2 linked regions of the Oryzias latipes genome follow. The protein of the gene in region 2 interacts with the protein of the main gene of each other region in a biochemical or structural test. Links are inferred from orthologs where the notes say so. Each region holds a gene or a part of one and is shown on either strand. Other genes may lie near its edges.

Evidence for each region. The genes of interacting proteins can lie anywhere in the genome.
Region 1: the proteins of tjp2 (region 2) and cgn form a complex in vitro, tested with the Homo sapiens proteins (2 studies listed by BioGRID and IntAct, with this or other methods). The link is inferred for Oryzias latipes from reciprocal best matches to the Homo sapiens genes TJP2 and CGN.

What each region holds. Positions count from the first base shown.
Region 1 is NC_019874.2:18,259,351-18,263,403, forward strand, and holds the start of cgn (cingulin), read right to left. Parts: upstream 2,801-4,053; 5' UTR 2,783-2,800; intron 1,968-2,782; 5' UTR 1,967-1,967; coding exon 1,067-1,966; intron 954-1,066; coding exon 856-953; intron 770-855; coding exon 700-769; intron 581-699; coding exon 485-580; intron 1-484. UniProt on the Homo sapiens protein: Probably plays a role in the formation and regulation of the tight junction (TJ) paracellular permeability barrier.
Region 2 is NC_019870.2:25,463,487-25,466,986, reverse strand, and holds part of tjp2 (tight junction protein ZO-2), read right to left. Parts: coding exon 3,438-3,500; intron 3,367-3,437; coding exon 3,213-3,366; intron 2,317-3,212; coding exon 2,205-2,316; intron 1-2,204. UniProt on the Homo sapiens protein: Plays a role in tight junctions and adherens junctions. Acts as a positive regulator of RANKL-induced osteoclast differentiation, potentially via mediating downstream transcriptional activity.

The DNA.
Region 1 (4,053 bases), on a different chromosome or scaffold from region 2:
ATCAATCCCCTTTGCCTGCTTTGGTTGAGCACGGGTGTTTCTTTTTGCCTACGGGTCCTTTCATCTGACAGTTATGTTGTTTCACCCTTAGTTATTTCTTCCTATTGTGTTTACTTCTTTTTAGCACCATGACTGTGGGAAGGAGAGAGGACGATGACACTTGTGCGATGTACAATGTTTAGTGTGTCAAAATAAAAGTGCAGTGTACGTCTTATCACGTGTCTCTGCCTTTATTGCAGCGTTGCTGCAGCGTGTGTCCGCCACGCCACATATAACATACCGGTTCGTGAGAATTTTGCAAGACATCAAACCGGTCTGTGGTGCACTAAAGGTTGGGGAGCGCTGATTTAGGACATACAAACAGTAAACACCATGTTTTACACAAACATCGTCTAACACCTGACTTAAAGGACAGAAAGAACAGACATTTCTTCCTGTCAGAGGTACGAGGGCCTACCAGCATTTTCATCTCTACTCCACTTACCCTTCTTTCTTCCTGTAGGGCAGTTTGCAGTTCAGCCACCTTTGTCTCCAGCTCCCTTTTTGCTCTCATCCACTCTTCATGAGGGCTTTCTTTAGGCTGGTAACAAAAAGAGTGTAAGACGAGACATACATGTAAAAGGCCTGTTCTACTAAATTGTTAGGGGGGGGGGGGGGGGACTCCTCAGGGAATTTTTGTCAGTTTCAAAATGAACAAACCTTTAGGCTCTGGAGATTCAGATAAATTGCTTCAACTTTCTGTCTGATGACAACATCTCTCTCGTTGGATCTAAAAGGAAGAAAACCCTTCAAGTCATTCACGCTGCAACTAGCTGAACGCACAGATGAATATGGGAGTAAACTCAAGGTTTATACCCTTGTTTTAAGATGCTGTAGAGGTTCTTCATGAGCTGCTCCTCCTCACTGCTCATCTCAGCACTCTGAACCTGGTCCAGCAAAAGGTCAGGGGTCGCCTTCAGACATAGATCAGAAATCTCTGCTTGCAATACTGCATGCTTTGCGGTGCTTAGAGCTCACTCCAGAAACAGCTGCCACGCACAAACACGAACGAACGACGAGTTCTTACCCGTGTGTCAGGTAGGTCCACCTGCAGACGCTCTTTTGAAGACCACTGGCTGCTGGAGCGGGACGCAACTACAGAGCCTTGGTTGCGACCCAAGCTGCTGTTAGTGGAGGACGGAGGAGAGGTGTAGGGGCTTTGGCTGGTGTAAGGAGATGTAGCTCGTGGAGGCTGAAGTACAGGAGGGAGTCCACTCTGCTGGCTAGCAGGTGCTCCACCATCAAACCTGTTTTTCAGCCTGCTGAAAGCACTCTGTCTCTGATTTACTTGAAACTCATGTACTTTTTGGGGTGGGTACGGGTTCAGCTGACTGTCCCTAAGGGACTCCTGTGACCTGCTGAGGTTGGTAGCTTGGTAAGAGCCTCCCCACATTCTTCTTTCCACAGGCCCTTCTCTGCCACTCGCAGCCCACGTCTCTTCGTTGTTACCCCTCACTCCAATTCCTCCGTCCAGATTCCCATAGCTACCAGACTTCCCATCCCCAGGGGGTCTAGACAGCTCAAAATCCTCGATGGCAGGCACTCCATCTCTGTCTAGCAGTGATCCGTGGGATTGAGCGCGGCGCAAAACCCCTCCCTGGCCTCCCCCTTCTCCTGTTTCTCCATATGTTTCCTCCACTCCCAGCCCTGGCTTGACTGTTCTCCGAGGAAGACTACGGTAGTCAGGTCCATAGTCCGTCCTGAGCTGGACCCCGTACGAATCTCCCTTCTGGCCATCTTTCAGGACCACATAGGGCTGGCCGGCAATTCCCTGCACCCTGACTGCTACCCCGTATTTGGAGGAGCTCGGAGGCTTGTTCCTGGGCTGGGGCGCAGGGTGCCTCCCACCGTCTCCAATGTTGTCGATGAATCGGATTTGGACGCCATGGTCGACGGCAGTCTTGTGGCCTGAAGACTGCGTGTTCATGCTGGCAGCAAAGCAGAAAAGAACAACAAAAGTCGGCTTAGGCATTCCTGAACAAAGATTTTTCACTTATAACTCCAGCTTATAACTAAATATTACTTATCCTCATACCTTATACAATAAAAAAACAACTTTTTTATTTCAATTCATCACTCAAAGTCTGTCTGCAATGGAAAAAGGAAGCAGGTTATCGTTCAACATTTGCTCACTGATAAGGCTAAATGAGTAGTGTGAGCATGCTGGGCATTCCAAACGAAGCAGTGGAGGGAAAAACCATAACGTAACCTGACCTGCACAGCTTTACACTGCAAAGTAAAAGTGAAAGAAAACAGGAAGAGCATTAGATCCTAAAAAATCTCCTTCATCTTCCACCTCCACTTTAACAAACTGTCCTTGACCAAATGTATGACAACATTTGATCTTTACCTCAACATCAATTCCAGGTTGTGTTTGCATTCGTTTAGGAGAACATCAGAGAGGATCACCTGACTGGTAATTTGATGCAATTTTTCTTTCGAGGAACAAAGCATTAAGCTGTACAACAATGTGTGTACACTAATACGACTAAGGCACTTAGAACTAAAGCCTTATGCTTGCTAATTATCAAACATGACCTTACATAGCTCTGTTTGCATGTACACTCAGTCACATAAAAAGAACAAGCTCAACTACAGTTCCCCAAAAGGTACTTTTTTCAGTTTGTTTTCAAAATGTCTGAATCATAGACCGACAGGAATATTCTTTACATGTAGAATTAGCAATCAATCTCAGACTAAAAAACAAATTTTTAGGCAAAAATAAGTAAATAAAGACAAACACCTGAAAATACAAACCCAGAGATAAAAGCTTAGTTTGAACAAATGCAGATCTACGGGCGTTTGACTGCTTGAATGAACTTTGTCCTCAGCGTCTCTGTGAGTCATTAACCTGGAGGCACACTGTCATAGATGGCACTCCCCATGTGAGAACCAGCTAAACCTTACTAATCTTTGAAATGTACTAGACACCAGCCCTAATTGCTTTAACCAGACTTGGAAAGCTTAAAAGCACAGAGTTGCTACAACAAACATTCATATCCCTTGTTAGATACTTAAATGAATTTAATATACTATTTTGAAACAGAGAAATTCTAAAAATTGTGAAATAATCTGCCAAACATTTGGTTTAGTTGCTTAAATGCTTGAGATATCATATCAAACTATCACTACTTATAGAAGGTCATTATAAAAAAAAAAAGAAAACAATGCTGTGGCTCATGATACTGACTCCAAAACTATTACAACACTCCCCCTGACCTCGCCACTCTTGCGTATTCCACTTCCCTCCACAGCCTTTTGAGGAGAGCAGCAGAAAGTGGCCAGGGGAAGAGAAAGGGAGGGTGAGGTTTTCTTCTCTTATCAATGCGATAAAATCCAAAGTCAAACTGTTCCAGAGTACAATCCTCCCTCCTGTACACATTGGAAACTGCCTGCAATACTTGCTATCAAACAAGTAACCGTTCTGACGTGGAAAAGGCTCAAACTCAAACCAGACTGGGGAGTTACTGACAGCTTTTCAAATGAATGGAACTGTTAAAGGGAAAGAGCAAGTGATGATCGACCTGAGGATGAAATAATAAAGCGTTTGTATACATTTCACGGTTACTGCCATACATAACCACTAAGCTTAAACAGACCTAATTACCAGATTTGAAGAGATGGTCAATTATTTCCCATCCTTTGGGAGCTGCAGAGAAAGCTCCCTGCCACAACACATTTATTAAGTCATGCATGAAGTCTGCAGCCTGCTGCCTCAAACCAAGTCATGCACTGAAGACTGTTGCAAAGATACGTCAAATGAAAAACACATGCAACAATTTTTAGTGGTGCTTTGTGATGTTTTTGTCGGGGGGCAGTTGAATCTGGTCACCGAAAAGGAAATTGCACAGCGAAGGTATATAGCTTTAGAGTTTGGCTCTTGGTTTTCACTGCTGTAAATGTTTTATTTTTGCTGGGTCAAGTAGGCATTGCCAGCTCAGAGGGACAGGGGTGAGGTGGGGGAGAACCCATCCCATTGTCTGATTGATGTGGGGCGGAAAACCAGGGCAGCAA
Region 2 (3,500 bases):
AATGGCACGATGTTTGTTGAAAAAAGAAAAGAAAAAAAAAACGGAAGAGCGAAGGAGTCGTCCATAACTTTATGTGAAGTGTCTCAAATTTACTCTGACGTAAAGACAGAGCAGCAGTGGTCCTCTCATTGTTTTGTTGTTGTTCTTTTTACAGTTAAGAATAAAGACTTGGAGTTTGGTTTACATTTTGGTTCCATCTGACTCATTTCCCAATCCTCTTCTGTGTCATCCAGATGGTTTCTGGAGAACTTTAGTCCGGCCTGGCTTAAGCAAGGGGACCATTGGAGAACTGCAGGACTTGAATCCATGACGACATTGCGTGTTACCATAGTAACCTTTGTCACTGTGGTCCCAGCTCTTTTCAGATCATTGATCAGGCCCTCCGCATAGTTCTGGACCGTTTCCTCACCGTTCTCTAGATCTTTTCTTCCCTGCTGGGTGAGATATTTCAGGAAGCTCCATGTAGAGCGAGATCGTCAGTGATCTTCCATTTTATAACAGTTGACAGTTTCTCTGCAAGCTGCTGCTTATTGTAGATTGGTTCTTCCCAGTCTCGTTCAGGTCTACACGCTTGTCCCTGGTGTCCTTCGACAGCTCTTTGGTCTTGGTCATGGTGTAGTCTGAAGGGTGCGGTCGGGTGTGTTTTATACCGATAACCAGTTCAAACAGGTGACATTAATACAGGTAACCAGTGGAGGATAGAAGAGCTTCTTAAAGAAGAAGTAACTCGTCTGTGAGGGACACAAATCTTGCTAGTTTTTAGGAGATAAATACTTTTCTGCATCATTACACAAATAAATTCTTTAAAAATCAAACAATGTTATCTGCTGGATTTTTATTTTACATTCCGTCTTTGATAGTTGTAGTTTATCAACGGTGAAAATTAGAGACCAAACTACAAACAGAAAGTTTTTCCCCCACTGTACATAATCTAATGTATTTTAAATAAATATTGGTATTTTTGAAGCACAACTACGAAAATGCATAAAACTGACTGTTATGATTGTAAGCAGTTCAAACTTGAAACGGTGGATTTATGATTTCACTTTAGCAGCTTTATTTAAACGTTTTCATTTGCACAGTTGATGAAGTGTTGGAGGCAGCTGTATGAAATGTGCAGTAATGTCTGTTCTGTATTTTATGAGATCATTTGGACTTTGATCCAGCAGCTCTGGAGGATTTATTTAAAAAAAAAAAAAGGGCCCTGACTTTTTTGTTGCAGCCCCTCCATTAAAGAGAAAACGGAAACAGTTCTCTTCCTGCACCTGGGAGCAATCTTGGATCTGTCCTTGACAATCGTCTGCCATAGTTTGAGAAAAGCAACAGGTGAGTATTGAGAGGCTGTGCAAAGCAGCTGGTTCCTCCAGCAGCTCGTGGAGAGGAGTTTCTTTGACCAAGAGTTTCTTCCAACTCGACATGATCCTCTGAAGGTTCAGAGAACGAATCAGCTCATCGAGTTTCATTCTGCTCAGGAATTTCCAACTAAAGTAAAGCTTTGCTTTACTTGATACCCCAGATGAAAAACTCTTCCGGCCTGAACGCCGTTTCCTGTAAACGTCCATCATGATTCTGCAACAACTGAGGATTAACCGTCATCGCTGTTAGACGTTTGACTTCTAAAGGCCAAAGTTGGTAGTTTGATTCCTGGCTTTTGTGGAAAAGATATACACGTAAACTTTACCCATGATGCACTCTGGTCTGTCTCAGAATCACTCTGTCAGCTGCTTGGAATAAAAAAATATCGTTTGGGCACAAAATATTAATCTTTTGGGCGACCAGGGAGCGTTATCCTAACAAAACTAAATCTCTTTAACCCATAAGAACCTTTGGTGACATCAGTGTACCAGAAGAACATCAGAAATGTGTTCTGTAGTCTACTTTGTCCCACATAATTAGCTTTTTTGGGGGGGACAATGGGTGTGGGTTTTATTGGGTTAAACAGTCAAAGTTAAAAATGGAGAATCTTTTTAGGGAAGGGCAGAAACCACAAAGTCAATGACTGAGAAGGCTACATTCAGGCACCTACAGCCTTTCAGGGCTTCTCAACACATCCATGCAATGCATCGTCACACCGCTAAACTACCAGAGGAGAGGCCTCTGCGAAGTAAAGAGCCACATTTCGGAATCACCGTTTCAGTTTAAGCGGAGCTTGTATTACGACGAGCTCCGACAGCCACCGAAATGTGGCCTTCAAGGCTGCGTACCTGGGTTTGTCTCTAAGCCTCTCATTGGAAGAGTGGGAGGAGAGGTCGGAGGGGTGGCCTCGTCTGTCATCCTGTGGAGAGTAAGAGCGGTTCGACTCGATCTCTGAGATATCTGCAAAACACGACACACAGGATGAAAGTTGTGACCTCCCTTCAGACAAGCCAGTGTCTTCACACGCGTGTTCTGGTTACAGACACTCCAAACTGCTTTGGGAGAGGGTTGGATCTATGGGAAATTTGGAAAATTGTCTACTGGGGGCGATACCAGACACAAACGCCCCCTCCTGGAGGATGTAGAGGAATGATCAAGATTTAGACGCGTTGCCTTCTAAAGCCAGGGGCTCAGCTAAATGATTAGCATCAACCCTGTGAACACACGACTCCAGGATGTTCTGAAGCTCGGACGAAAAAGAAAAAGGTTTGGAGCTTCTGCAGCGACAATGAAATTCTGCAACAGCAGGATTATGAAGGGGATTAGATCACCCTGCTGCAGGCGAGTGCACATTTTCACACATGAAGACACGTGCACACACACACACACACACACACACGGAACTAAAGTGGGTCATAAGTCTTAGGGCCATCCCCCCCCTCCCGTAACAAACAAAAACTCACACCACTTATCTAGATTGGTTTTGACCAATGGCGGCGTGCCATCTGGTCATGTGACTTTAAAACCAGGTATAAAGGAGCGAGTGCGATGAGGCGGGGCCTGATGACGGTTAGTGGATGTCTGGTGTTAGTACTGCTCTGCAGAACATGAAATAATGTTTGCGTACGACTAAAGTGGATGTGAGCAAAAGCTTTATTCAATTACTGGATTGACAGATACAACATTGTCATGGCAACAAAGCTGGTTTAAGAATGAACTTCACATGCACTGGGCTTTCTATATGAAGAGGAAGATGGAGGTGGTGATGATGATGATGATGATGATGTCAGCCACTTGCACAGTGTGCTTTCACACCAGATAGGTCCTTCTGCCTTTCTGTTTGGACTGTCTCTCACCATCGAGCTCCGAGTCGCTGTCGACCATGGGCGGGATTCGGATCAGCACCTGCCGCCGGTCCCGCTGCACCACCAGCTGCAGCTTTCCGCGGGACTTCTCGATCAGCTTCCCGGCGTCGCTCAGAGACAGGTTCTCCGTCACCGTCCCGTTAATCTGAAGGAGACACGTGAGATGTAACACCCGACACACTCGCTGGTGCAGACGGTTGGATTTGGCCAAAGCACCTTCAGGATGATGTCGCCCTCCTTCAGGTTCCCGTCTCTGCCGGCGAGTCCGGTGCTGGTCAT